Linked DNA regions of Lepisosteus oculatus. The protein of the gene in region 2 purifies or fractionates together with the protein of the main gene of each other region. This does not show direct contact. Links are inferred from orthologs where the notes say so. Each region holds a gene or a part of one and is shown on either strand. Other genes may lie near its edges. The genes, in order: myocd, srfb and mrtfa.

What was found.
Region 1: the proteins of srfb (region 2) and myocd purify together in Homo sapiens (affinity purification with western blotting; 3 studies listed by BioGRID and IntAct, with this or other methods). This does not show direct contact. The link is inferred for Lepisosteus oculatus from reciprocal best matches to the Homo sapiens genes SRF and MYOCD.
Region 3: the proteins of srfb (region 2) and mrtfa purify together in Homo sapiens (affinity purification with western blotting; 4 studies listed by BioGRID and IntAct, with this or other methods). This does not show direct contact. The link is inferred for Lepisosteus oculatus from reciprocal best matches to the Homo sapiens genes SRF and MRTFA.

What each region holds. Positions count from the first base shown.
Region 1 is NC_090704.1:37,590,180-37,597,804, forward strand, and holds the start of myocd (myocardin), read right to left. Parts: upstream 3,050-7,625; 5' UTR 2,943-3,049; intron 1-2,942. UniProt on the Homo sapiens protein: Smooth muscle cells (SM) and cardiac muscle cells-specific transcriptional factor which uses the canonical single or multiple CArG boxes DNA sequence. Acts as a cofactor of serum response factor (SRF) with the potential to modulate SRF-target genes.
Region 2 is NC_090712.1:6,301,360-6,308,353, reverse strand, and holds the start of srfb (serum response factor b), read right to left. Parts: upstream 3,026-6,994; 5' UTR 2,473-3,025; coding exon 1,813-2,472; intron 1-1,812. UniProt on the Homo sapiens protein: SRF is a transcription factor that binds to the serum response element (SRE), a short sequence of dyad symmetry located 300 bp to the 5' of the site of transcription initiation of some genes (such as FOS).
Region 3 is NC_090707.1:37,901,665-37,908,759, forward strand, and holds the start of mrtfa (myocardin-related transcription factor A), read left to right. Parts: upstream 1-4,043; 5' UTR 4,044-4,373; intron 4,374-6,242; 5' UTR 6,243-6,303; intron 6,304-7,095. Other genes in the region: slc25a17 (peroxisomal membrane protein PMP34), read left to right, coding at 866-961, 1,041-1,123, 1,702-1,852. UniProt on the Homo sapiens protein: Transcription coactivator that associates with the serum response factor (SRF) transcription factor to control expression of genes regulating the cytoskeleton during development, morphogenesis and cell migration.

The DNA.
Region 1 (7,625 bases), on a different chromosome or scaffold from region 2:
ACAAGCAGTTAGCATTGATAGATCTTATAAGGTTTTTAATACTGTACTTCTTCATTAAAGCAAGACATCCCAGTATAGTACGTCTCAATTCTATTCTAGTCCTCAATACCCGTCACCCAGTGACAGATCTTCCAAAAAGTGTGAGGGAGCTTAAGCCACCCCAGTATAAGCAAAAGTCATCCCAGTTTAGTCACCCTACATTAACCTCTATTTGTAAAACTGCTAAAGGAATAACTTGAAAACTGAACATTTAAAATGAGTTGAAATTAGGGTTCAATTATGTAACTACAGGCTGCAGAAATCTTGGGAATCTAGTGGATTAAATTACTTAAATATGCAAAATATGTAGGAATGGTTTCACGAACCATAATTATCACTAAATCAGATCTACCTTACAGTATTTAGATAATGATTATGGGTATTGATATAGAAATGTGGATATAATTATTCCAAAGTTTGTGGCTGTGACACTTTACAAACAAAGTAAATCAGTGAAAAAGGCTGTTTTATATGCTAAAACTCTGCACACAAATAGAGGTTTTTACAAAATATAATATGTAATTTGGTCAAAAATAAAGCAGAAATAAGCAAACAACAAAGCAAAAACAAAGCACACCATATTGAAATTCAGTTTCAAATATATTAGGTCACTGTATATTAATTGGATGCTCCAAAACATCTCTGTCATACAGTAGGTAATTCTCAAAAGTTGGTCACCTCAGTGCAGCCTGCTAGGCCACAAAAGACACCTCCCTCTATTATAAGAAGGATAGGTATTTGTAATACTTTTTTATACATCATGCACATTGCAGAATGTGTAGACCCACGGAAACACCCAGGAAGAAACAACCACTACTTTGGCCTGCAACAACACATAGCAAAAAAGGTCTGTATTTCTTTTAGGTATTTTTTGTTTGGATTGGAGGTTATCATCCAAATACATACTGTAATTCAAGTAAATTAATGACATCTTGAGTCACATAGGCTAGACTTTAAAAAAAAAAGCATTGCCAGTGGGCACAGAATTCTCTTTTGTGAGCAGGTACATTCCTGCTTGGGCAGATCTGTAAAGTGAGATTGGTCACACCATGAAATACAGCTGTTTTCTTATAAATCTTGGAGATTGATCTGGAAATTGGTAGGAGAAATTAAATTAAAATCAGCTGAGGACCTTCCTATAAAAACATACTTGTTAGTTCCTACAAATTTCAATGCTCCTTGTGGCGACTTCACAGTGTTGATCTATTTACTACAATAACTGCATCCACTTTGTTCAATTAATAAGTTCAAAATTGATTTTGCTTGTAGAAAAGATGTGAAGACTCCAGATGATTCTCAAAATGAATTTTTTATATAAGGAAAACAAACCTTCCACACTAAGTTGTTTTTAACAAAAAGAAAGTTTGTCCATACAGTTTGCATTTATGCATGGTGTTTAATTTCAATATAATGAATGACAAAAAAATCTCCCCCAACACACGCAAATAACTGTTCTATGTTAAAACACATTCCTTAACACACATTTGACTGCCTTGTTCATAAAAATAGCCTTTTAAGAACAGCTTAATATTCAGCAAAGCAGAATTATTGGAATGTAAAAACACTGTTGTCTAGATGAATTACAAGGAGAACCTTGCTAGCTTCTCTTGCCTTTATTTTATGTTTCCTGAGCAATGATGGACAGAAACTCCATTTGCTAAGGATTCTTTCAAATCCTTCTTCCAAGTCATGTTTGACCTGAGCAATCATGGTATCATTTCCTTGCACAGCCTCTAAATCTTGACTAATCTTGTCAACTAACTTAACTTTAAAACATTCAAGGGTCCTTGCAAAAACATACCATGGTAATTTTCACACTATTGTGCCTGTTATAAACAGTACATGATTCATCTGAATCATGGTATACCACAGTGATTAATGTTATATTGTATTTGTTATTGTTAACCAGTGTAAGGTTGTGATAACCATAATATTGCATAATTTGTAAGTATTCAAGATGTTTGTATAGAACTATTGTTTATTGTTAATTGTTTTGTATTTACAATAGTATGATATATATTGCTTAAGAATACTTTGGGAATTTTGCACAAGTTATGTTTAGGGAAGGAAAAAGTGGAGAAAACTTTGCAATGCAGTGTAGCAAACTGCTCTGAAAGATGGGTTTTGATAGTACAAGCTTGTTGTAGTCTAGAAGTCATAACTTCTTTCAGCACGGCCTGAATGTTAAAGTATCACAACATGTACAACTTGGCTTGTTCACTGCAGTCCTTCCAAGCCAATTTAAGCTTCTTTTAATGTAGAAAAACTAAAAAATATAAAAATAAAATACCATCATTACTGACTTAAAGCAGAAGAATCCATTGACTGGAGTGTTTCACCTTATACTAGTTTTGTCAACTTCTTTTTATATCTAAAACATTGTATTGAGTTTGCTTAATTACTATCATCCTTTATAGGATTCTATTTTTACCATACTTGTTATGACCACTGTAAAACTACATAAGAATACAAATTATTCTAATTATATAAAATGATTACACAAATGAAAGATTGCAGTGTAAAGCTGGGGTCCCCACTTTTATTTTAAGGATTAAAAAATCACTAGCAAATGCTGTAGATGGAAAAAGACATTAAAACTATTCATGCTGAATCACAAACACATTTCTCCTAATACTAATTGTTTGAGAAACGACTCGTGCATGCAAGCTTTGATTACTTCCACGTTGTTTTTAAAGAAGTGTTTTTTAATTGGATTAATTAAAACAGAAAAGAAACACTAGAAGACAGATGAAGAGCATTGACCCCTCTTGTGGAGAGCTAGCATACACTGCACAGCAGGTAGTATTAGCTTAGAATTGTACGTTGTTTCGATAAACCTTTGGCCAAGTTCCTTCAATTAACGTTGCGTTTTTGGAAGCCAAGAACAGAATGTAATAAAATACCTGTAAGTAGCTGTGGCGCAGGGTGTTATTTCTCTCTGATGAAATGTACTGAAGCTGCTGGGGATGAAGCGAAGAAGCCTATGAATTTAACAGACTGCTTCATTACGGTTCTCCAAGTCTGTAAACTTGCCGTGCCTTAAGAGCCGAGTTATAAGAGCCCTGTGCTGTCGGCTTACGGAAACAGCCGAATCCAATTCACGGGAGCAGCCAGACTTCGGGAAATATTCAATGCTACTGTTTCTAGGTTTACATGGATGCCGTGGGAGTATTTGAAACCGAGATTTACGCAGTCTGACATATTGTTTGAAGTGAAATCCTTATGACATCTCTGACATAGCGTCAGCTAGATTTCTTCAAAGTCCAAATCTTATTTCTATGCACTAACTCTATGAGTTACCGATATGTTTTGATGTCCCTTCAGTTCAGTGGCGATAGTGTCCGTATTAGGAAATCTACAGTATAATGCTTTTTTAAGGCAGAGCTAATTTCCAAGACAGCTCCATATGATAAAGTTTAAGAATGAAATGAGAGTGATTACTGGTATGAGAGACCATATGCACTTCATCAGACTTCATCATGCTACTATAATGTTTTACATTAGACTACTTACGTTTTGCTCTTAAAGTTATTCTGCATAAATCTTCCATTACATTACATTTCATAACAGAGTTGTGCTGAATTAATGCCCCGGAAAGAGAAAAATCTAATTTTGATGTAGTGTCAATGTTACATTTTATAATTTCCAGGGAATTTGCTGCGGAAATCGAGACACATGCATTTCACTCTAAGCCCTACTGAAAACGGGTATTGAATTTAAATTAATAGTTTAATGAAGGACTTCCTGACATTACTTGTGCATTTGGTAAAGACAATAGCAGATAGTTGCGGGGTGAAGCATGGTCCTTCATAATTCATTCTGTCATTCAAAACTACAGTATCACAGGTGGCAAGAAACAAGCGTGCACCTGCTCGCAGAAACTGTAGTCTGTCAGAGGTCTCATCATCAGATTAATACACTGGCGAAATGAGGATTATAGAGGTTAATGTATGTGTCTGAATTTGGTTTAATCAGAGGTATCAAAGTGGGTATAATGAAAGTACTCAAATGCCATGTAAGCATTATTAAATAACTTTATAAGAGCTGCTAACAAATGAGCAGTTTGACTGATAAAGCAGGGTCTGAAAGGATATTAAGCAATAATGATGCAAAATAAAGTTAGATTCAATAACACATTAAAGCTGGTTTTCTTAACTTCATCATAGCTCTGGAATTCTTATTAGATGTACTTTCTACGTTTTTAATGTTTGAAGACATCTGTTTGCTATTTAACTGCATTGTTACTTACCCTCTCCTTTTACAATAGCTATTAAAATCAGAAAAGAAGGTCTGGGAAGTGTAATACACTATTTAAAACATGCATTTGTAATAGAAACAGGTATTTTAACATGTAGAAGAATTAATATAAAGTGATATACATCCCCAAAAGAAATTAAGTTAATAAATAAATTCAGTTATCAAAGCAGAATATGTTCCTGGGGTAATATTTATACCTACAATACCTACAGTTCTAATTACATTGTCTTTATGCATTAATATAATTGGCTAAGTACAGTATATGTTACAGAAGTACAGCATTATCTGAATCAGTCTACATACAGTCTACACAACAAACATCTTGCTATAATATCTAAATGCATATTACAGTATAATACCATTAAAATTGTTACATTTGCCCCATTCTGTAGAGTATGCTTTTTTATTATCCAGGATGTAAGCGATTTATGAATATGTCTTCTTTTGTCAAAGTAAACAAATTTCAGAATAGTCTATTGCCACAGGTGTGTAAAACAAATACAACACACTTAATTAGTTAAGAAAATAAATTAATGGCATATTGCAGTTCTTTGCAGTATCACTTTCTAACAGATATTAAGACAAATTCCTTGCTTACATGGTCTTATTGTCTAAATCTAGCAAAGTTTGTGTTGGTTTCACTGAAGAAATAAAATTACCAGTAGACAAAAATAGAACACCTCAAATTTTATTTGTGTTTTTATTGGAAGAGTATTATGCATTTTATTCTGCTATTTTGCACATGCTAGCCAGGAGCTTATTTTGTTATTGAATTCTTTCCTTTATGGCAATGAAAGCCAAAGCAGATATCAATCTTTATCCAGACTGAACATAGTTTGCAGTATTATCAAATACTCCCATGTCATCCTTATGCAATTAATTTTCTTTTTTTTACCACTGTATCACTCTAAGATTATGCTTGTAATGTATTTTTAAAATATGAAATTGGCTCATCATTATTATTAGTGTCATTATATTTGTGTTAATGATACTAATACATGAAACTGGATCAAGTGGTACCTGAAAAGGAATAAGCAAATGGTTTTGACATTCTAACACATGTTTTTTATAAAGGTTGTAAGAAATTAAGTAGGTGAAAGTGATTCTGATTCATTTCTTTACCCTTTGTCTATCTAGGATGATGTGCCAGGGTCATTTCTTCTTTGCATTAGTAAAAGTAAAAGCTTCTCTCTCAATACATGACCTTAAAACATGAACTTTCTTGCTTTAAGATGAAGTTCATAGACTTGGCAAGAGTGCAGTTCACTTGACAAGTTTAAGAAACGTAAAACAATGAGACTTTTACCCTCCTGAAAAAGACATACAATTTTTTTGTTCCAAAAACATGCAGTACAGTATCTGGGTAGCCTGATTGAAAATATTCAAATTCTTGGAAGGAATATTATCCTTGCAATAACAAAAAAAAGTTATGTTGTCAAAGTGAGCTTATTAAACTAACATAGCACAGAAAACTAGGCAAGTGTTTAATTGTTGGCTGTATTTACATTAATTTTCATAAAAAGCAATGAATGAAAACCCATATTCTTTCAAAGACAGGTGCAGCACACAATGCCTTGATTATGGGAATAATGGCCCCAACAAAATGAAGTGAAATTACTGCAGATTTCAGCCTGAAAATATTCAGATTTTAAGAGGCCATGCCTGGCAATCTGGTAAAGATAAAACCTTTTTATCTTTAAAACCTATCCTACAGAGTTTGTTAGTAAAATAAAAAGTTCAACACTGAGAATGAACCTGGTTTGGAGGAACAGGACATGTATGGCAAATACTCATTTGACATACAGTAAGCAAATAAATAGTCACATATATAAAGAACAACTCTTCATTCTGGAATCATACATTGCATTTAATCATATGTGGAGGCTTAAAACTTTGAGGGGCTGCTCTTTGTCTTAAGCAAGACACAAATGTGGTTAGACTTTGTATGGTGGAATCAGGAAACCAGTTCTGTGGCAAGGCATTCCATTCCTGGCAAACAGTGTGTATAACACTGCAAAGAACCTTAACATCTGTTACTATACCCAAATTCTCCAGGAGGGATGTCTGCTTGTTCAAGCCAGTACTAAACCAAGCATAATGCTATATTAAAGAATACACTTCCCCTGGTTAGGCGAAAATCAAAGATGCAAAGAGCGACCAGAGTACCCCAAATCTGCCATGGCCTTGGAAAACAATGAAGTTTAATCTGCTTACATCAAGTATACAGTATATTCCATCACACTAGTGCTGCTGTACAGTATTCCGAAATTTGTTAGCAAACCGATTGCTACAGTATCTCATGGTAAGGTAGGCAAGGTCATGTTATACTTTACATGATCTATATATTCAGCAGATGTCATGGCTTTAAATGTGTTTTCTCAGTGAGATATTGGTTTTGCTGCTAGAGAATATTACTTTAACAAGCATAGCCAATTGTACTGCAACATACTTCTCAAAATCAATTCGAGAGTGGCAACCATTCTAATTTTTACCGACATCCCCTTTGAAGACTTGAATTAAAGGTTATGGGCCAAAATTACAACGTAATATTATTCTAAAAAATAATGCAAAACAAATGTTGATGTATTTTAACATCATATGACATAAAGGACTATAGTGCACAGAAGAAGTTGTGGTGATGTTCACAATTTTTGTAACTTTTGCTTTTAAACTTGTGATTTCCTCTAAATACTCAATTATAGCAGACTTTTTTACATGAAAACTTTTTTTAAAGTAAAAATAAGATTTATTCAAGCAAATAGACAATTTTTTAAAGCTAATTGATGTTATGGCTAATTGTATGTCAATTCACTAGTTTATCTTTTAGTAGAAAACAATAGTATTCAGAAGCAATTATTTACAGTTTTCAATGAAAATGTTTAATTTCAAGATATTCAATGGTAAAAAAATTGCTTGAAATTTTAAGAAGCACTGGAGTTGAAAACTGTTGTTAGAAATGGAACTACACAATTATACTATTGATCTTGACATACTTGAGATAAAAGAGCAGGCCAGGCCAATATCTCAGGAAATGTAAGTGAAGTATGAAGTATGAAATCCATGCCACTGTTTTTGAAATGTGGAATTTGTTCATTAACTTGAGTGGTTTGTGCGCACTTGAGTTTTACACAGTATGTAAATATAAAAGGAATGTATTGGAAATACCTACTGTAAAGGAAAGAAATCACTCATTTGGTCATTTGGTAGTGAAAGCCTTAATGCGATTGTTGTTACAAGATGGCTTGTAGCACTATGAGTCTAACACTGCTCATGCTCTTACATTTTTGTGAGCAAACAGCTAAAACTATTTTAAAGTGCCTATTTTTGAT
Region 2 (6,994 bases):
CTTGGGAATCAGCTCGTAGTGCCTGCTGGTCTGAGATTGAAATGCTCTTCCCTGAAGGACTATGTGGAAGTGCAGCAGAACCAGAGGGCCGGAGGGACTCCCGTCTCAGACCAAGGCCGGGCCGTGGGAGTGCTGCCGGGCCCTCGGATCAATCGGAGCCGGAGGAGCTGCGTGCGGACAGGACAGGGGCCACGCCGTGCTCTCACACGGGCCCTCGGGCAAGATGTTCTTCAAACTGCTGAGGGGACGTAGGGTGAAGAAACACCACGCAGGAAAGCGACTGTTAACAGATAATTACACCGCATTTCAGAAAAGAGCTCCGTTGCAGGCTGTGGAGCTGGGATCATTGTCGATAGTGGGAACGGGTCCAGAGCACAGAGAACAAGGACCGAGACCGCAGCCCATGCCACCTGTCCGCTACCTTCCGTGACGGAAACACACTTCCCCGATGCTCTAGCTTCGCCAGCCTCTGGCCAGGCAGCCCTTGGGGTCGCGCACACACCCGACCAGCAGCTCGGTACTACCGACACCAACACCGGCACAGGCCACAGGGAGGGGAGGGTGGGCACAGGGGTTGCCAGTTGCTCTTTTCTATTTAAAGCGCCTGCCTCTTGTTCTGAGCCCACCGTGTCCGCTGTAGTTTCCACCTACGGCGAAGGAGGGGGGGGGGCGCTCTCTCCCCTGACTGGAGGTCCGCACGTGCGCGGCGCCCCCCCCCCCCCGGTCACTAGTAAACACCGCCGGGAGCCTCGCGGCTACTCCAGCGCGAGCCCGTGTCAGTTTCGCTTCCCCCCCCCCACCTCCCGGCCTCGCGCGCTGCGGCAGCTCTCCTCTTCGTCTCTCCATCCCCCCCCCCGCCGCCGCCGCCTACTCCCCCGCTCTCCGTCGGTACCCCCTCAGGGAGACGGGCTCACCCCCGAACCCCCTGGAGGAGACACCCCCCCGAGAAACACCTCGGCAGTGCGAGAGCGGCTCCCCAGACGGCGGGCCGCGTTGTGTAATCCGCGCTCTGATTTCTCACTGGGCAGAGGCGGAGAGAAAAAGACAACCGTCCACCCCCCGGCACACGGATAAAAATAATTCAGGTGGAGACACTCTCCGATTCTGGGGATATTTTCTGCTGTTGCCGATAGGCCCACAACTCCCCCCCTTGCTCCATGTTTCTGTGTGTGTGCGCGGACGAGCGTGGTCTCTCTGGAAAGCGAAAAACAAAAACACAACAGATATCTCAGCAGGGTAGGTCTGCAGATTTCCAGAGGGCCGGGAAAGCGGTAAAGTCGGAAAGTAAAAAAAAAAAGTGAAGTACACTTCTTACAGCTCAGACACAACAGAACAGGCTCCGCGGCTACACACGGGCTGAAACACGGACTGGCGAAGTTTCTCACGACCGACACATGACGCCGGACGGAGCCCGGGCGCTGACAGAACTGGTCTTGGGAGCAGACGACGACGACGACGACTTCGACAACCCGGTGTGCCGTTTCCGACGGTGTGCTCGCTGGGCAGCTCATCCTTTCCCAGGTTTTACGAACTTGTTCACCGGACCAGACGCTCTCCCTGCTGCGGCGGCGGCGTTCCGGCTCCATCTCTCGACTCGCCCCGCTCTCAAGCCGCGGGGTCGCCCGCCGCTGCATCGTCGCTTAAAGCAACTTATACGCCAACCGTTAACTTCTCCAGCCCCGGGGGGGGGACAGTGCGAGGCCTCGCATCGGGGGGGAGTGGGGGGATAGAGGACGGGACTCGTTAAAAAAAAAAAACTTCCCCCGACACCTCCACCGGCCGCGAACTTGGCAGGGCAATCTCGTTACTCACCTTCTTCATGATGCCCGTCTTCCGCTTGCTGAAAGTTGTGTACCGCCTCAGCTTGTTGTCGATAAACTCCATTTTGATCTTGACTCGCCCCCTGGTCTTCTTCCCCGGCTTCGCGCCGGCCACCCCGGCGGACACCCCGCCGTATGCCCCCGGCGGCACGCCGGTCTCCTGCCCGGCGCCGGCGGCTTCCATCTCCGCCCGCTCCCGCTTCACCCCTCTCCTGCCGTCCCCGGCCGGACCCAGGGGGTCGTCGTCATCCCCGGAGTCCGAGTCGGCGTCCGAGCCGCTGTACACCTGAGGCGTGCTGTCCCGCTCGGGCTCGTACCTCCCGGCCCCGTGCATCCCGACGGCGGGCGTCACTCCCCCGATGCCCCCTACTCCAGTCCCCTGCAGCCCGGCCAGCCCTGCCCCGTTGCCCGGCCGGGACCCTCCTCGGGAGCCTCCCCCTGCCCCGTTGCCCCCCAGCATCCCTGCCCCGTCCCCCGACCGTCCCACCCCGCCGCCGTTGCCGCTGACCCCGGCCGCCACTCCGATTAACCCCGTCCTGCCCAGACCCGGGCGCAGCGCGCTCCCGGCCGCCCCCGAGCTGTGACCCGTGTTGCCCCGGCCCGCAGACGACCCGTTTCCAGCTGGTGCCGACCCAGCCTGGCTCGGTAACATTATACTCTGCTGCCCCCGGGGGTGTCTTTAAAGAAAGCCAGCCGCTCGCTGGGGCCCGTGCGTGCTCGTCTTGTTACAGCAAAGCACATACACCGGCCAGCGAGGTGGTCAACGGGGGAAGGGAGGGAGAGGAGGAGAAGAAAAAAAAAGAAAACAGCGGTCCGGAAAGTCAGAAAGGCTCCGACGTCCCCTTATAACGGGAGAAGTTAAGTTTCAGAAGTGATGCTGCCCCCCATAAGACCCCTCACCCCCGGCTCAGTCAAGCTCAACCTCCTCTATTTCCAAAACTCGCTGCACTTTCTCCAAAAGGAAAACGCGGATCACGCCCTACGCATCACTCCGCCATGTCACGTAGTCCCCACATTAAAACACCGCCGGGGAGCCCGCCAGCGCGCCCGGGATGGCAGCCGACGCTCCTACCCGTCCTCCGGATCACCTAACTCGCTTTCAGACGGCGCCGGCGCCGAGGGGGAACCGGCTAAATTCGCTTATTTCAACTCGCTCCCCGTGGACGGATACCATAGGTAGCGATCTACTTTCCTCCATATAAAGAGATACAACGTTTCCTTTTATGGTGGCGGCTCTCCTTATTTGGTGAGTCACAGCGCCGCGCCGCCATTGGCCGCAGCCGCCCGAACCTGCGCCGCCATTGGACGCCAGGCGCCCGGTCATTAGAATAAATACCAAGATGGTTGCGCTCATCCCCCTGACGTCAGCGACGGGAGGAAGGCTGGTGGTCGAGTTTAAAGAGACAGGCACGGAGTTAAAGTCCCGAGTTAGCTGCTGTACAGTTAGGGGCTTTCACATATCACAGTGCCAACGGCTTGAGTTTCTTTCTTTTCTACTGCAGGGGCCTTATCAAACAAGGTTTTATGAACTGTAATTTATTCACTGCTGTATTTAATTTGTTCACTGTTGTACTGTACAAATAAACCATAATCCCTTGCCGATATACACATGGATAAGGGCTTCACGTAAGATCTTCTACAAACTAAGCTGTTGTGGTGGTATAGCTTGCCCCGTCATAATTATTGGTCTCCTTTTGTCACTTTACGGAAGGTCTTGGTCACTTTAGGTCACATGGAAATGGATCACTAGTTACCTGGTCCAACATTGGTTCAGCAATGACCTGTTCATCTTGCTGTGTCTGACCCCGTCCACTCATCAATTGTCTTCGCCCCGATCCTGATATCATGACCCCTGTTTGTGCTCTAACACATCCATTTCTTATTCCACATCTTCTTCTTATTTCCAGGCACAGGGTTTTCCAACACATGCTGGATATTCTGTAGTACATACAATGTTTTTTCGAATACATCGTGCATTCAGAGAGTATCAACAAACAGATCAGTGTAAGACCTCTAGGATACCTCTTAGAAAAACCTTTGAATATCTAGGAATATTTTAGAAAATGACAGAGCAAAACTATTCGTTTGGGATTTTATGTCACTATGGACGTGATATATACTAGCTATAAGAGTAATGCACTTCAAGAGTATTTTCTTCAAAGCCGTACATAACGTTTATAATCCAGAAAGAACACATAACTTTGATATATTAACATTAATGCAAGTTGAAAGATTTCACAGATTCCAAAAAATAATCTACCTCCAAATGAAAAGCAGTAGTATCCGGCAGAGATACACAGATTCAACACACAGATGAACTTTTCCTGATGGCATAGAAAAACAAGGAGGGATTGCTTTGTCTTTTCAAAGTGCCCCTCGTGCAATTAAAAGACTCTACAGGGAAGTAAGAAGAAATACGTGACCACGCCCTGTGTCTGCAATTAAATGCGCAATTAGTACATTTGCAACTTGCTGGATTGAATGGGTGTTCAGGAGAAGTATAAGTAATCATTTTTAAATAAGTATCATTTAACAGGTCGGATTTACTGCTCCTAACAAAGTAGTGAATGACACTATTGGAGATGGGTGATGCTCATACCTTCATGTCCGACTGCGTGTTTAAATATTAGATCAGTCACGAAGTTTTATCTCAGGTTCGTCGCGTCCCTCGTTAGTTCTCAACACCCTGGCGGTGAAACTGTAGCTGTTAAGCATTATGTGGCCGAACTGTTTAGGGGGTTTGAGCACTGCGTTTAAAACTGAACGGGACTAAAAAAAACACAGCTCTGTGCGTTTGCCGATGTTCCTAATTAGCGAGGGCCAGTGGGTGCAGACACCTTAGAACAAACCTGTCAGGCACTCCACAGTCTTCTCACTTCACTGTATCACCAACTCTTGCCAGGGTGGCTTGGTTGCTATGGAAACTGTTTAACTGGATGCTGCATTAAATTAGATTAGGCCTTGCTCAAATATGCAAGCCTAGATAACGGGAAGGCAGTCTTACCCATTTAACCAGCCCTGAAGAGGCATGATCGGCAGGGCTCGTCGTTCTTGGCAATTATGAGGCGCCCCTGTTGAGAGAGCTGGGCTTGTGGGTTTTAACTGCCGTGGCAGTGTCGGCGTGTCTGTATGATAGCAGGCAGGGCCTTTCCTGGGCTTGCTGTACCTGAAATTGAAGTAACTGTGTGTCCTTGTCTGTGCCTCCTCCAGTGTGAAAGAAATGAAACTTTTAAGCCCGTTAGTGTTTTGACACTCGGGTACGAGTTTCAAGTTTTTTTTTCTTCTTAACTTTCCTTTTAAAAATGAATCATCTGTTTAATGTTGTAAAAACAAACAAACACAATGCTGGACGGGTCTGGCAGTGTAGTTCTGTCCAAGGGGAAGCAGTACCTGTCCCGAGTCAGGAGACCTGCAGGACTCCCAGCTCCGGAGAAGAGCAGCACTTCTCCGGCCCCCTGCACACGTCTGGTCACCCTTCCTCCTTCCTCCATCGTCTGCAGTGCGGTTTGTGCTTCTCCTGGGGGGGGGGAGGACAGCCATGCCCTGTGTAAGACAGAAGGAAGAGTCTGGCTCTCCGAGAGGCCAGAGAGAGGGGTGTGTGGAGACATAACATCTGGATACCTCCTCAGCCGGTGCAAGTCCCCCCTGCCCCCCGCACACAGAGACCCCACAACACACAGGCCTGCTGCTTGGGATACTTCCAGTGAACGTCTTCATCCAGATCTTCTCCTGTCAGCTGGGACACCAGGCAGCTGCGGGGCGCAGCTGGAGGGGTCTGGGCCCGGAGTTTTCCATCTCAAGCTCTGACAGGAGCGTGGAGGCTGCCCGGCCCTGCGAGACACCACCACTGACGCCATGAGCCCAGGGAAGGAGAGGATACCGGTTAAAGACAGAGCAGGAGCAGGGACAGTGAAGAACCCTTGAAATCAGAACACGACAGGACAGAGTGGGATAAAAATAAGCCCAATTTGCATGTCAAGGAGAAGCATTTCACAAAAGCTTTAGCATGATCAAGGGTTACTGTAGGTGAGTCATCCATGACTAGTTTTTCTATAAACTCAGGTTTGGAACAGATTGGCGTCTGGGTGAGGGTACATTGTTTCTGTGGTAATGATCCTTTGTAGATCAGTGGATTGGAAGTCTTGGCTCTGCTGCCGCCGCAAGATGATAAAGCACACGGGAACCATCTGCGCAGTGCTGGACGCGCTGAAAAAAAATAGGTTCACTAAACGGTCAGGCCTGCCACACAGCCCAGAGTTCTAGTGTCTCACAGAGGTCTAAACTGTGAGGCTACTGTGATTTGAGCTGCTTTTCGCCTTTCAGGAAGCGCTGGTTCCTGATCGTAATTTATTGTCGTGCAGAACCCTGCTCTTTAAAATTTGTGGACTACATGATACGATCAGCCAAGAATGCGCTGAGAGGTTTTCAGCGTTAACATCAATAGCTGGGTATTTCTGCAGCTGATAGGGAAGTGTGTTTGGTGTTGAGCAGTTTTCTTCAGCCGAAAGGATTGTGGTTTCGGTGATGTCGGAGCTTCTTTGAAGCTTGCTTTGCCTGGAAAACCTTTACTCTTCAGCAACATGGTTTCAGGGAGCTTTAAATATCTGTCGCCCCTCCGGCTCCAAGAGTCTGCTGCTCCTCTGCGGTTGGCCTGTAAACTCGTCTTCTTGTCTTGCACACCCGTTCACCTACCCAATCCGGTTAAAATCCAGGAAAGGAAGTGATGCTAGAGGTCAAGTTATAGAGGGAGAAAAACCCTCCGTTCATTTGACAAACATTAAAAGGCTCAAGATGCTTCATATAATCCATCTGTTTGCTAACCAACATTGCTTCATCCAACACAGAGTCACAAGGCAGCCTGGGCCTACGCTGGCAAGGAGTGGGCACAAGGCTGGACAAACTCTGGACAGGCACACAGGACACAAACACACACTCACTCACACCAGGGCCAGTTTCTCCAGATGCCAGTGAACCTTTTGGTAGGTTTTTGGACTATGGGAGGAAACCGGAGCACCTGGAGGAAACCCACAAACTGAGGGAGAGCATATACCACTTCATATAACCGGCGCTCTGTACCGTATAAATCACAGGCCACCTAGTATCTGATGCCTTTTAGACACTGAAACGTGCACTTCATGCGTGAACATAACAAGAATTATAAGCCAATTTTAGGA
Region 3 (7,095 bases), on a different chromosome or scaffold from region 2:
CTGACTGTCACACTGGCACACTGTTTGACTGGCACAGAGACCTGCTGCCTGACTGTCACACTGGCACACTGTCTGACTGGCACAGAGACTCGCTGCTTGACTGTCACACTGGCACACTGTCTGACTGGCACAGAGACTCGCTGCTTGACTGTCACACTGGCACACTGTCTGACTGGCACAGAGACTCGCTGCTTGAGTGTCACACTGGCACACTGCCTGACTGGGACAGAGACTCGCTGCTTGACTGTCACACTGGCACACTGCCTGACTGGGACAGAGACTCGCTGCTTGACTGGCACACTGGCACACTGCCTGACTGGGACAGAGACCTGCTGCCTGACTGTCACACTGGCACACTGCCTGACTGGCACAGAGACTCGCTGCTTGACTGTCACACTGGCACACTGTCTGACTGGCACAGAGACCTGCTGCCTGACTGTCACACTGGCACACTGCCTGACTGGGACAGAGACCTGCTGCCTGACTGTCACACTGGCACACTGTCTGACTGGCACAGAGACTCGCTGCTTGACTGTCACACTGGCACACTGTCTGACTGGCACAGAGACTCGCTGCCTGACTGTCACACTGGCACACTGTCTGACTGGCACAGAGACTTGCTGCCTGACTGTCACACTGGCACACTGTCTGACTGGCACAGAGACCTGCTGCCTGACTGTCACACTGCCTGACTGGTACGCTACCTGTCACATTGTCTGGCGCACTGCCTGACTGGCGGACTGATGCACTGCCTCGCTGGCACACGGACTCACTGGGTCAGAGCCTGGCGCTCGGGCGCTGACGGGGGCACTGCCCGCGGACGGTTGTGACTGACCACTGGCCGCCCCTGTCCCTGCTGCTGCAGCTGCTCTCCCTGGAGGTGTTCGTGATCGGCGCCGTGGCCAAGGCTGTGGCCACCACCGTGACCTACCCGCTGCAGACGGTGCAGTCCATCCTGCGGGTGAGTGACCGCGCGGCCGGCCTGTCCTCTCTCCTGTCCCCCCCCCCAGTCTCTCACTCTCTCCCTGCTCCTGTCTCAGTTCGGGCAGCACGCCCAGCCGCAGGGGCGCCGGCTACTGGGAGGTCTGCGCAGCATCGTCCACCTGCTGAGCCAGAGAGTCAGGTGAGTCGGCCGGGGGAGTGACCGCACTGCAGGGGGGCAGGGCAGGGGGAGTGACCGCACTGCAGGGGGGCGGGGCAAGGGGAGTGACCGCACTGCAGGGGGGGGGCAAGGGGAGTGGCCACACTGCAGGGGGGCGGGGCAGGGAGAGTGACCGCACTGCAGGGGGGCGGGGCAGGGAGAGTGACCGCACTGCAGGGGGGCGGGGCAAGGGGAGTGACCGCACTGCAGGGGGGCGGGGCAAGGGGAGTGACCGCACTGCATGGGGGCGGGGCAAGGGGAGTGACCGCACTGCAGGGGGCGGGGCAAGGGGAGAGTGACCGCACTGCAGGGGGCTGGGTGGGGGGAGTGACCGCACTGCAGGGGGGCAGAGAGAGTGACCACACTGGGGTGGCGTCAGCCTGGAAGAGTGAGCGACCACCCCACAGTCATTTCCCCTTCCTGCCCCGGCAGCAGCAGCACACTCCTTGCATGCCCGGCCTCAGTGTGTAAGATAACACGGCAGCCATCTTGGACCAAACACCCTGAGACACAGCTGGACACTGGAGCGCCGCCCCTCTCTCTCTCTCTCTCCCGCGCAGGAAGCAGGGCATCCTGGGACTGTTCAAGGGGCTGGAGGCCAAGCTGCTGCAGACGGTCCTGACCGCTGCCCTCATGTTCCTGCTCTACGAGAAGATCGCCGCCACCACCTTCAGGGCCATGGGCTTGCGGAGGACCGTGCCCGGCCGCTGACGCCCAGACGCGACGCCGGGGGGGATCCTGGGAAGACAGGGGGGCAGGTGGCGGGCTCTGATTGGTGGAGAGCAGCTCCGCCCCAGGCGGTGGCGGATGGCGCGAGGACGGTGATGTCTGGTGTCTGGACTGGGTGGGGGTTAACGTCTTTCTGCCTCCCACACCCTCCCCTACGGGAGCTGACTCGGGGGGGAGGTGGTGCTCGAACTGCTCGCTCGCTTGTTCCCCCAAAATGAACGGCGCCCCCCAACGTCCCAATAAAAGGGGTGCCGGTCCGGCGCTTCGGACCTGACGCCCGACTCGCGTGCTCTTCCTGTCCCCTTGCTGCTGTGCCGCTGGGCGGCGGGAGGCTGGGGAGCACGCTCCTGTCCCAGCGGGAGCCGGAGGGGGGCGCATCTTCGCCCTGGACCGAGAGCTGGGGAGGAGGGAGGGTCGCTCAGGCAACCTGGAGGGGGCGCTGTCCCTGCCCCCTGCCCCCCGCCAGCCCACCTCGGGGGTGGAACTGCACAGCCCCGCGCTCCAGGTGGGCGCGGAGGCGGAGGCCGGCGGTTCAGCCCGCGCCTGCAGGTCCATCGGGATCCACTGGGATCGGCTTCGACAGCGCGGCCCGGGGGGGGGCTCGGTTCCGAGACGTCGGGTCGCTGCGTCCGGCTTCAGAGATGATTCTGGCCGTTCCGCCGGTGCCAAGTGGGTCGCTCAGCCGCGGCGGGGTCAGACCGGCGGTGCTCAGCGAGGACCGGGCTTTCCCAGGACACCCTGCCGTTTCCGGGCGTGAAGGCGCTCGAAGCGTCTCTCCGGGCCGTGCAGTTCCGCCTTCCTGCCGCTAGGCGGAGCCCTCTGCCCGCAGTCGGTGTCCAGCTCGGAAGCTCCTGCCTGTATTGTCCCAGATGGGGGAATTTGCTTTGCAGGAAGGTGAAACCTGGCTTTTAATAGACAGTACAAAATAATCTGAATGAATTAACGAATAAAAAAAAAAAGAAACCATGCATTCAATGGAAAACAAACCAGCAGCTTTAAATTATTAGACGAAGTTTGCATGATGAAAAAAGAAAATATCGGTTGTCCAGATTAAGTTGGCTAATAGTCCAGGGAATAAAGGATATCTTAGTTTTATGGCACTTGAATGTGGGTGTTGTGGTTGAAGTGGACACTCAGACGGTGGGTGATTATATTGGCTTGTTTGGGGTAGATGTCTGCCTGCCCCGTACCCCGGTACCCTGGGTCAGAAACATTTCCACCCCGCTGTCGCCGTTCTCTCCCTGCCTTGCATGTGTACATTTTATTTTGTGATCCATTACAAACGGATCTTGGGTTCGAATCCAGCCCTGTCTGGGTGGAGCCTGCACGTTCTCCCCGCCGTTCGCCCCTAAAGGTAAATAATGCCACTGCACCCTGAAGTGCGGTCACACGTCGTGTCCGACAAGGTTACTGTTGTATTACAATCTGCAGCAGGTGCGGCTGACCGGGCTAGTGAACGGGATGTCTGGAATAAACGGTGAGATGACCGATACCTGTGCTGTGATTTTCCTCTGCCTCCTCTCTTAGCTCTCTGCCCTTTACAGCTCCTCCCCTCTCTGAAGACGAGGGAAGCACAGCCAAATACAGATGGGTTATCGAAACATATATAAAATAAATACACACGATATGTAAACATACCATCTGAGTGACTATGCAGATTCTGCATACAACACGTGCAGCTATAAGCACGTTTTTCACATATTTGAAGCTGACGATAAAAATATACAGTACATTTGGGTACTTTCTCAACAGCTGAACTGCAACATTGGCGATGACGCCTGTCTGCTTCCTTCCAATAACTCGGGAGTGGACCGAGCGAGGCGTCTCCACACCTCTGCTGTCTCACGCCCGCTGCCAAAAGTTGGAATCAAAACCTCCTCGCTTCCCATTGGTCGGCACCGTAGCGAACCCGTTGCCGCAGCGCCAGCTGATTGGTGCAAAGGCCAGGCTCCCGAAATGGTCCTGCGCTCTGATTGGACGGCGCCAGGCGTCGGTCACAGGAAAAACTAAAGAAAAAAAAGTTGGTCGCGGGGGCGCAGGCGAAGGAGCGGGATTGGCCCGTCGGCGACGTCAGTCGACCCGGTTTCTGCCCGCTGATTGGATGACCTCGGCTGCGGAGGCGGGGGGGGGGGGTGGACGGGAAGGGGGAGGGATTTCCGGTCTAAGTTCAACATTGTAAATCGGAAGCTAGTTTTGATAGTGGGTAGGGGTGGGGGGTGAGACAACCCTAGACGAAAATACTGCTTTATAAACATTAATTCTCTGAACAGCTGGGCACCCAGAATAAGGCAACTTTCGGTAACACTATCCCGCCGGCTGGAAGCCCGTGGTCTGTGACATGTCTGTGTTTTGAACTGGAGCTGGAACATACTGCCTCAGTCTTATCTGGCGGAGGTGACTGTGAGAAAAACCTGCCTTTTTCATTTTTTATTTTTTTTTTCCAACGCCGCCTCGCTGTCGAGAAATGGGCCGCAGGGAGAGGTGCCTGCGCGCTGCCCGCCAGGTGAGTCCGTGTCACCGCCGTGGGGGCGCCTGGTCCGTGTTGCAGTCATCCTGAGTGGGGCGACGCGTGGGGAGGAGAGGGGGGCGGCTGGTCAGTGTCGCGACAGGCGCGGCGGGGCCATCCGGCCCCCCCCTCCTCCCCACTCTCACCTCCACCTCCACGGCCGCGACAGCGAGCCCAGCCGGTCCGCTCCGGGGCGTGGAGTCCGCAGTGCGGTGCCGGAGGGCGCAGGGCGCTGCTGGCGGCGGTGTCCCCGGACAGCTGTCGTGTCTCCCCCCCCCCTAGCGCCAGGTGACGGGGCAGGGCTCGGGGCCGCGGGGACCATGTGCTGGTCCGCCCGTCTCCCGGGAGTGCAGCGCTGTGGAGCGCCGACTGGAGCTCCGGGGTGGTTCAGGAGGAATTTGGGAGCCCCCCCCCCCCACAACCCCCCTGTGAGCCTGGGCAGTACCTGGAGTGGAGACTCCTGGGATCAACTGAGGCTGCTGCTGGGAGAGGTGTGAGTGGGGCCAGCAGGGGGCGCTCACCCTGCGGTCTGTGTGGGTCCTGATGTCCCAGTATAGTGACGGGGACACTACACTGTAAAAAAAAATAAAAAAAAATGGTGCTGTCCTTCGGATGAGACGTAAAACCGAGGACCTGACTCTCTGTGGTCGTTAAAAATCCCAGGGTGTAGAGGTGTAACCCCAGTGTCCTGGCCAAATCTCCCCCTGGCCTTTACCCCTCATGGCCTCCTAATAACCCCCCTCTCTGAACTGGCTCCATCACTCTGCTCTCCTGTGAGGAATTATTAGCGGGAGGTGTGTCACAGGGAATGGTGTCCCCCCTGCACACTTCCTGCCGGGGGGACAGGTCAGCGCGTGCGGCCGGGAGGGGCCCGAGCCGTGCGCACTGGCCGATGGGATGCAGGAACTGCGTGCGGAATCGCTGGGAGAGGGGCGATCTCTGCTGTTGAGGGGGATTTTTTTTTTTCCGGCTGAAAGCCACCAGCGGTTTCCTCCGTCGGACCCGGACGGGTGCTGCTGCAAAGGGGAGATGGAAAACGCAGATATTTCTGCGAGCGAGGTGCTGTTCAGATAAGGATGTGGGCGTTCCAGCAAACTAGGTCAACCCTGGTATCTAGGGTTTGGCTGCAGTCCCTAATTAATCAGCCTGCAGCTAATAGTTTTTGCTTTTTATAAGTTTTGGGTGTGTGCTGTCGTCCCTGGCGAGAGATCCTAGGAGATATTTCGGAGAAGAGGGCAGGGACCCACTTTCTTCTGTGGTTGATCCCAAGGTGTCATCCAGCCTTGTCCTGAGGGGATCCCAGGGAATCTTTCTGTTGCATGGCTGGGTAGTTTGCTCCGGACCCCCACTGCTCTTGGTGTAAAGAAAACTACCTCCTGTTTCCAGTCCTGAATATTCTCCTTTTTGTGCCAAAGGGTTGAGGCGGAGGTCTTTGATACTGAATACCTGTAGGTTTCCCTGTTTGAGGTTCAGAAGATTCTTTCAGGATCCAGGAATCGTAGATCTGCGTGTTGGGATTCTGTGACCAGCTGACCTGCCGGAAGAATTCCTTCAGCTGCAGGAACTCTTGTATAAAACTGGTTCTGGAGCAGGCATGATAAATAAAACCTGCACGGGATTCTCGATGTGGGTTTAACCGGAATCTTGCACAACTGTGACATGACAGCTCTTGACTTGGGTTGTTTCCACTTTCCACAGCATCGTGTCGGCCTGGTTTCACACTTCCCACAGTGTGGGAATAAGGGAATTAACGAGACATTAACACCTTCGTGCAACTCGTGGTCTCACATGCACACGAACACGCACAGTCGGGGGGTGCTGATCCTGTAAATCCTAATCCCTGTGTTTCTCTTCCCCCCCCTGCAGTGAGCAGCGGTCCTGCTGAAATGGAAATACCCAGATTCCCCGCACACAGGAAGTAAAGCAGGTATCGCCCTCCTCCTCCTCCTCCTCCTCTGTCTGCTTCTCTTCTCCTCTTCCTCTTACTGCACCTGGTTTGTTCTCTTCCCCCTCGCTCTTGTTCCTCTTTGCCTGCCCGATATTCTCCGGGGGGGTGAAAGTGGTGTGTACCGGGCCGGAGGGGGGAGGGTCAGACGTTTGCATTCCGATGGAGCCGGGATGGGAATATAGTGTCCGGAAGATTGAACCGTTGTGTCCAACAGGGCTCTGTTAGACACCACCATCGTGTTGAATTAGAGGGATCTGCAGTGTCCAGCAGGGCTGTGGTCACCATCGGGTTGAACCACACTGGACTGCAGTGTCCGAGGGGCCTGTGGTCAGCATCGTGTTGAACCACACTGGACTGCAGTGTCCGAGGGGCCTGTGGTCAGCATCGTGTTGAACCACGCTGGACTGCAGTGTCCGAGGGGCCTGTGGTCAGCATCGTGTTGAACCACGCTGGACTGCAGTGTCCGAGGGGCCTGTGGTCAGCATCGTGTTGAACCACGCTGGACTGCGGTGTCCGAGGGGCCTGTGGTTAGCATCGTGTTGAACCACGCTGGACTGCGGTGTCCGAGGGGCCTGTGGTTAGCATCGTGTTGAACCACGCTGGACTGCGGTGTCCGAGGGGCCTGTGGTCAGCATCGTGTTGAACCACGCTGGACTGCGATGTCCGAGGGGCCTGTGGTCAGCATCGTGTTGAACCACGCTGGACTGCGATGTCCGAGGGGCCTGTGGTCAGCATCGTGTTGAACCACGCTGGACTGCGGTGTCCGAGGGG